Xenopus tropicalis: one gene and its partner. The protein of the gene in region 2 interacts with the protein of the main gene of each other region in a pairwise test. Links are inferred from orthologs where the notes say so. Each region holds a gene or a part of one and is shown on either strand. Other genes may lie near its edges. The genes, in order: eif4e and eif4enif1.

What was found.
Region 1: the proteins of eif4enif1 (region 2) and eif4e interact in binary tests that used the Homo sapiens proteins (3 or more experiments, as listed by UniProt). The link is inferred for Xenopus tropicalis from reciprocal best matches to the Homo sapiens genes EIF4ENIF1 and EIF4E.

What each region holds. Positions count from the first base shown.
Region 1 is NC_030677.2:74,891,198-74,895,120, reverse strand, and holds the start of eif4e (eukaryotic translation initiation factor 4E), read right to left. Parts: upstream 2,680-3,923; 5' UTR 2,674-2,679; coding exon 2,656-2,673; intron 1-2,655. UniProt on the Homo sapiens protein: Acts in the cytoplasm to initiate and regulate protein synthesis and is required in the nucleus for export of a subset of mRNAs from the nucleus to the cytoplasm which promotes processes such as RNA capping, processing and splicing.
Region 2 is NC_030677.2:152,099,645-152,103,467, reverse strand, and holds part of eif4enif1 (eukaryotic translation initiation factor 4E transporter), read left to right. Parts: intron 1-1; coding exon 2-282; intron 283-2,421; coding exon 2,422-2,617; intron 2,618-3,823. UniProt on the Homo sapiens protein: EIF4E-binding protein that regulates translation and stability of mRNAs in processing bodies (P-bodies). Plays a key role in P-bodies to coordinate the storage of translationally inactive mRNAs in the cytoplasm and prevent their degradation.

The DNA of each region.
Region 1 (3,923 bases), about 77 Mb from region 2:
CCTGGAGAGAAACAAAAAGGGATCTTGATATACTAATGTCAAATAAACATTTGCTCTATCCAACAATCTAGGAAACCTGCGAGATCGATCTGCCAAGACAAGACAAATCATCACACTTAAAGCGCATTTTCGTGGAAGATGCATTGGTCCACATATACCTTGAGACTGTAATGGAGACATTATGAGAACACAGATTACTTTTTGAATGCTGCATTCCAGCCAGTGATCAAAATGCCCTTGTCTTCCAGCAGCCATTCAAATTCATTTAAATGGGAAACTTGATAAGACTATGGTGCAGCCAGGGACAGCTTACACTCACTCATGTTATTAAGTGATCCCCGTGTGAATGTGTTAGCTTATTTCCCAAATCTGGTCCTTGGGAGGTCCAAGAGGACTGAAATGCTCCATGTAACAGAATCAATACATTTGGGGGTAAAAAGTGTGTGAAAGGTTTTAGAAATAAACTAGCAAAATCACAAAGCAACAAGTGCTAAATAGTAGATTAAAGAATAGCTACTACATTTTTTCAGAATGTTATTTCCTTCATACTAAAGCCGGGCCAATAAGACTGCTCAAAAAAAAACAAAAAAAGAAAGCCTGTGGGTTGCAAAATCTGCTTGTTCTAGTGACCCCCCCCCCCCCTACCAATGAATGGATCTTTATGGATATAGCCATTCAAAACTGAAATACACCTGTTACAAAAAATGACAGACACCTAAGTATACAATAGACTGAATGGCCGCGAATGAGCACTTCTCAGCCAGTGGAGAACTGGAGGTCACTAGGATCGGCGCGACCCTTCAAAAATTTTCAACTGCTCCAGAACTCAGACTTTTTTGTATGACATCAGTCTTAAAATATTCATGCAGTATAGCATATGGCTGACCCACAACACTGAATACACACTGCTTTATTAAAAAAAAAAACTTTAAGCAACTTCAGCCTGTACGGATATTACAACCCAAAGCATTCCCACCACCACAGACTGCCTTGAGGAAAAAAAAACGCACCACAATATCATACGCACATAAATATTTCTACACATATATAAATATCTAGTTTTATAGCTGCAAGGAGAATTACTAGCACTTGCTGATGTCTGTAGCCAGTGTCTCTAACTATGCAACTGTTGTGGTACAGGTATGGGATCCCTTATCCGGAAACCCATTATCCAAATTACGGAAAGGCCGTCTCCCACAGACTCCATTTTAAGCAAATATTTCTTATTTTTAAAAAATGATTTTCTTTTTCTCTGTAACTATAAAACAGGACCTTTTACTTGATTCTAACCAAGATATAATTAATCCTTATTGAAGGCAAAACAGTCCTATTTGGGCTTATTCAATATTTAAATGATTTTTAGCAGACTTAAGTTATGAAGATCCAAATTACAGAAAGATCCCTTATCCGGAAACCCCCAGGTCATGAGCATTCTGGATAACAGGTCCCATACCTGTACTTGATTCTAACCAAGATATAATTAATCCTTACTGGAGGTAAAACAATCCTTTTGGGTTTATTCAATATTTAAATTATTCTTAGCAGACTTAAGTTATGGAGTTTCAAATTACGGAAAGCTCTCTTATCCGGAAACCCCAAGGTCCCCAGGCATTGGATTACAGGTCCCATACCGGTACCAATTTCTGTGCCCATTCTTCTAGTTCTAATTAAAAGCAATACTGTGCAGCCAGGGAGCCACCTAGTCATGTCACAATCCCTCAGTCACGCCAATTAAATGCAATGCCATTCTCTGTAGTGTTTCACAGCCATGACATGTGCATTCTTTGGCCATGCATCAGGTTTCTACTTATTACAACAAACGTGATTTTTACTGGGACGACACCATGTGATTAGACAAAATGACTAACTTCTTTCAATTTCAGGGACTGCAAAAGAGCTGAAAGATAAGTCACTAGATTCCCCTTGTGGGCTTTCTGCGTGTGATTATTGGCGACAAGGCCGGCCAGCTGCCCATGTGAGGGAAAGGAGACTTACAAGGAAGTGAATGTACAGACATATGCCTGCGCCTTTTCAATGAGTAAGGCAACGTGCAGTAGAAGCTGGAGGAGGAGGGGACACCCCTGCCATATTAACTTGTGCAACACGATGGGGGGCGGGGAGTTTATGAGAGAAGCAATACGGTATCGATGCAATAGTGACAGGTTAGCCGCAGTAACCAAACCCAACATGGACACGGCGCACTCGGACTGGAATGCCGGGACGCGCCCGTAAATGGCCGGTGCAGCCAAAAAGTCTCGCCTCCCTGTGTGTGCCCGCCACGCGGCCAGCCGGCTCCTCGTCACATGCTGACGCGCACACACATGTACAATAATGGAGGGGGCGGGAGCGCGCACGGGTGTCCCACACACACACACACGGTGTAAGTAGCAGCCATTCCCCTAGCAATGCGACCGGGACATAGGGTGGGGCAAAGATCGCGGCATCCCCTACGATGCCTGTAGCTGCAGTAAAAGCAGCCGCCGCCGCCTAGAACAGCAGAAACATGTTACTTTGGACTCCTCCCTCGGCTTTCTGAGCGCCTAGCGGAGACCTGGCCGCCCCCTTGCTTTAATAAGTGTCAGTCGCTCCGCCAAAGCAACATCTAAAACCATGTGCTTGTGGGTTTGCCTGTACACGAGTCACGCATCTACTCACCGGCTCCACAGACGCCATTTTAGATGGTTGTGACTGCACAGCCGCCGCTGGCAGGAAAGAAGAGGAGGTTAAAAAAAAACTACTTTCAAACCCGGTTGGTTTGGGGCGTGCCACGTGACGTCCGCCGACAGCTGAGTCTGCGTAGCCCCGCCCAGCAACCTGTAAAGAGGGAGAGGCCGCGCAAGGGGTGCTGGGAGTTGTAGTGTAAATGGTCGCTTGGGAACTACTACTATTACGATTTGGTTCTGTGTCACTTGCAAGGCATTGGTAGGCGGGCATCTGATCTTTCATTAACGTTGAAGGACACAAAGGAAGTGTATGTAAAGGTGCAACATATGCAGGGCAGCTGGTAACTTATGCCTAAAGTGGCCTTGGCTTCTGATGTGAATCACACCCAGTACTTTCAATACCGAGCACTTGGCTAAAGTTTAGTTCTTTCCTCAAACGATTAAGTAAACATCTTTTGCTAGCATTTCCTTTTGTAAAAATGTTCTGTTTTATTTTTAAAATCGCTTTCTGATTTGTATTTTCCACTTTTGTAGCTATATAATAAGATATAAACTTTATAATTCACCATGAGCAGTTAAATAATTATTTTGCCCTCACCAAGCTTTTATATCTCATCAGAGAGGTTTAGCCACAGAGCAGATCCAAGACTAATGGAAGCCCCTGTTTATACAGGGTGGGAACCAGGGGAACTCTGAATGATAAGCAGTTTCAGTATTGCTGTGGCATACAGAAAACTTATGTTACACTACTGTGCATCTATTTGACATTGTGGCCGCAGCCTTGAAGAACTGAATTATTAAAATTATTTACTTCTCACCCATAAATACACGTATTTCCCGAAACAAAATGACACCAGAAAATTGCATTATACAATTTAGGGTTACACCTAAAATTTAATTTCAAAGGTTTACAGAAGCTATCATACATCAGTAAGACTACTTTTGATGAATAACAACTATTATAACAGATGTCCAAAGCACCATATAGAATTATGGGTAGGGCTGGGCGATATACCGTTTAATACCGAATACCGGTGTTTTTTTTAAAAACTATATTAATTTTTCAGATACCGCAATACCGGGGTGTCAGGGTACTCACCCGTGCGGCCTGGTCTCGCACGCCTCCTTGCGTGTGCATCCTATTGTCCGCGGGACGTTGCACACGCGCGTCCAGGTGCGCGTGCGTCAAAGCGCACGTACATGTCAAAGCGTGCACGTCCGTGACGCGCTGATGGCGCCGGTTCTGCGTATGCGTGGGGG
Region 2 (3,823 bases):
GACCCAAGGGAGCGTGTTAAAGAAGATGATCTTGATGTAGTACTTAGCCCTCAAAGACGGAGTTTTGGAGGTGGATGCCATGTTATAGCTGCTGCCAGTTCACGACGGTCAGGGAGTCCACTGGATAACAAAGAAAATGAAAGCATGCGCATGTTGGGGTCTCGCCGAATTGGCAGCGGGAGAATTATGACTGCAAGAGGGTTTGACAGAGATGTTCGAGGCGATAGAGAACCCAGAGAGGGGCGAGACAGAGAAAAAGAATACAAAGACAAACGCTTCAGGGTAAGTTTTCTGTCTTAAGATTTGTGTGTAAACCTTGCATCACGGAATGCTGATGTTACATCCTGATCTAAAGTAACTTTAACATGAGGTGTATTAAACTGATTTGTTAATAAAGATAGCTAAAATTCCTCCAAATAGCAGTCAATCATTTTTAGTTGTATGCTGAAAAGTGCTGGAGGGCAGCTAGATTTAATACTGGATGTTTGCGAGGACTATAAATGTTTCTTACAAAATCATTGTCCAGTTAGTGCTCTGTTCTGTTGACTTTATCAAGAAATTAAGAGAAGGAAACTTCCTTTATTTTATATATCCTTACCTTGAGTCCTGTTCTAAAACAAATGATACTATGTGACATGCTGACTGCCTGTACACATAATTTTTGGGGAATTAGCAATGGTAGGCAGGCATGCAGAGGATTTGGAGCATAAGGGGTGCAACTTCAGGCAAAACACATGTTGATGTTGGGAAGAATTGGCCCTAAATAAACAGACAGAACTAACTAAAACAGTTCAGGGTTATGATTTGTCCCTTCTTCAGGGCTCTCACCTTCCAAGGTTACTTCCACACTTTGGAACCTTTACGGGGTTTCTCACTGTCCCCAGTGACTTTCACACATCCACAGCAACTCTCGCTCATGAACGCTCAGGCTTCACCTTAAGCCTTGCTGACTCCTCCCAGCTCTCATCCATCTGGTCACGACTTCCTCTGCTCCTCGCAGTGGCAGGAGGCATCCCCAGCTCCTCTGGGAGTTCCTTACGCAGGCAGGCAGCCTTCCTGCCCTGTGCCCCACTCCTGCTCAACCCCCCTGTGTAATCACACAGCCATTTTATTTGCTGCTCACCTGCAGCCTAATCGGGCAGCTACACTACAGCTGGCCAAATGAAAACGTTAACTGGAGTTTGGAATGGAAGGTCTTTCCTGCTCTCCCTCCATTCACTCCAGGGACCTATTAATTTTGCTTTTTCTAAGCTAGTAACTTAAACACAGTATTACCTGTTGCAAAACCAGGCCTTTTACCTGGTGCTACTTGTACCCCGCCTTTAACACTGGTGGAAATACAAATAATCGTTGTCCATTGCATCTCTCACAACATAGATTAACAACCCATAAGAGGTCTGGAAGAGTGATGTCACATTAAAGAGTGGTGGTGTACCTTAAAATTACCCTTTTGGTTTGATGACAGTGTTATTCTAATACAGTTACCTGGGATTTGCAAAGCTCCAACTTCAGACTCTGACATGGCCTTTATGTGCCTTGTAACATATTTCAGATTTAAGTGAGGACTTTGGTATATTAGGTCTTCCCCCAAATATATATCTATATCGAGCACCTGTACTAAATGTCCTGTAAACCGTGTATTAAAACTTGTGCCTATGGTTTTCCCACAAGCCTTTTTGTTAAAACCACCCTCAAAAAGCATATTGTCGGAAATGTTAGAAAAGCATTTATAAAATATTTTGTAGTTGTCATTCTGTGGATCAGTGTTTGTGCAAAATGCTTTAAAGGACATGTCAACCAAGAATATAATTTTTTGCCTAATAAAAGAATATAATTCTAAGCAACTTTACAATGATTTTATTAAAAATTTTCTGTGCTTTTAAAAGTTATTTGTAAATGTAATTGCTATTGAAAGCAGCATTTGCTGAACTCCTGGTTACTTTTTACACAATGTTGCATAGGTCAGGCTCCTCCTAGTCAGTTCTGTCAATCTGCTGCCTTGTGTGTGTGTGTGACATTGTTTCAAATGCCAGATATATATATATATATATATATAAGTACAAAGTTTCTTGGAATGTTTTTTCTTTTATTAGGCAAATTATATTCTTGGTTGACTTGTCCTTTTAATCTGTAACCATTATGCCATCCAACTATACATTTTTGAAGTCTAAAACTAAAGGTGCAACTTCATTTTACTAACCAATGTTGACAAGGTTGGCAGACCTGAAGGTTTGGTCATATCCTTAATGACCTTTAGGAGGAGGGCAAATGCAGTGATTCATATTTTAAATCCATTTAGTTTATTAAACTGAAATTAAGGCTTGATATGTGCCAGACTTGTTAACTTGTTGTTTTTAGCTTCTCTAAATGTTTTTATTTTTTTTCCTCCCCCCCCCCCCCCCTCTGTCTTCTCTGCCATAGCGAGAGCATGGAGACAGTAAACGTGTATTTGGTGAGAGACGTAGAAATGACTCTTGTACAGAGGAGGAACCAGAGTGGTTCTCTGGGGGTCCCACTAGCCAGTCGGAGACAATTGAGCTTACTGGCTTTGATGATAAAATCCTGGAAGAGGATCACAAGGGCCGCAAGAGGACAAGAAAGCGGACAGGAAAGGAAGGCAAGTGGAATCTGACTTAAATTGCAGTGGGTTGGTGTTTTTACCGCATATCTTGTTTGGCCATTACACATGAGAAGGTGAGAGTTCATGCAATAAAGTATATTGAGCCTTTTTTCTTTTCCCCTTTACCCCTACTGTGTTGTCATGCCTTCACCATTGAGTTTTTGGAATCTGACAACAGTGGTTACAGGAGTTAGTTTAGGTTCAATCTGGAATTTTCAATTGAATCTTAAGATCAAGTACAAGGTACTGTTTTATTATTACAGAGAAAAAGGAAATCCTTTTTTAAAATTTAGAATTATTTGCTTATAATGAAGTATATGGGAGATGGCCTTTCCATAAGTTGCATAACTTTTCCATATTCCAAATTTCCATAACTTTTTGGATTACAGGTTTTCGGATAAGGGATCCCATACCTGTAATTTATGTGCTATTGCCCTGCACTAGTAAAAGTTGTGTGAAACTCTGCTGTAGTTTATATAAACAAAGTGGCTGTGTAGTCATGGAGGTAGCACTTAAAATGAAAAAAGGAGAAAAGTCACAGGTTACATAGCAAATAACATATTGGATGAGCAGATTCCCATTTGTGCATTTGCCCCCATAGCTAAACAGCAGCTTATTTATATAAACTATAGTAGTGTTTCTGAAGCAAACATACAACTTTTACCAGTGAAGGGCAGCAGTACATTATATTATAATTCAAATGTTTTCATTTTCTGGTAGTACTGTTCCTTTAAAGCATTAAGTGCACTTATAGATACAAATAACTTTTTGAACATAAGAAAAGTAATTCAGGTGTTTTATTGTGACAGGAACAACAGGTAGACTAATGGCAATCTGTTCTGTGTTACAACAATGTCAACAATCTCCAGATTGCACAGACATTGGTATTGGGAGTTAAACTATTACAAATTAGTGTCTTTAAGACTTCATGTTATTGTATGAGGCAAGTGCACAACTCAGAACAGGCCATGCCCAGGTAGGATAAAGGAACATGGGTCTTAATGAAAACATGCAAACTTAAACGAGAATTAAAGCTTAACTAAAGAAGTAGGGCAGAAATGTTGCACATTGTTTTGGGCTTCTGTACCAGCCCAAGGAGACCTCAGCTGTTTAGCAGGGAAGATCTGTGCCTACAGAGATGCCCCAGTAGCTCCCTATTTTCTTTTCTGCTGATTCACTGTACATGCTCTGTGCTGCTGTCGG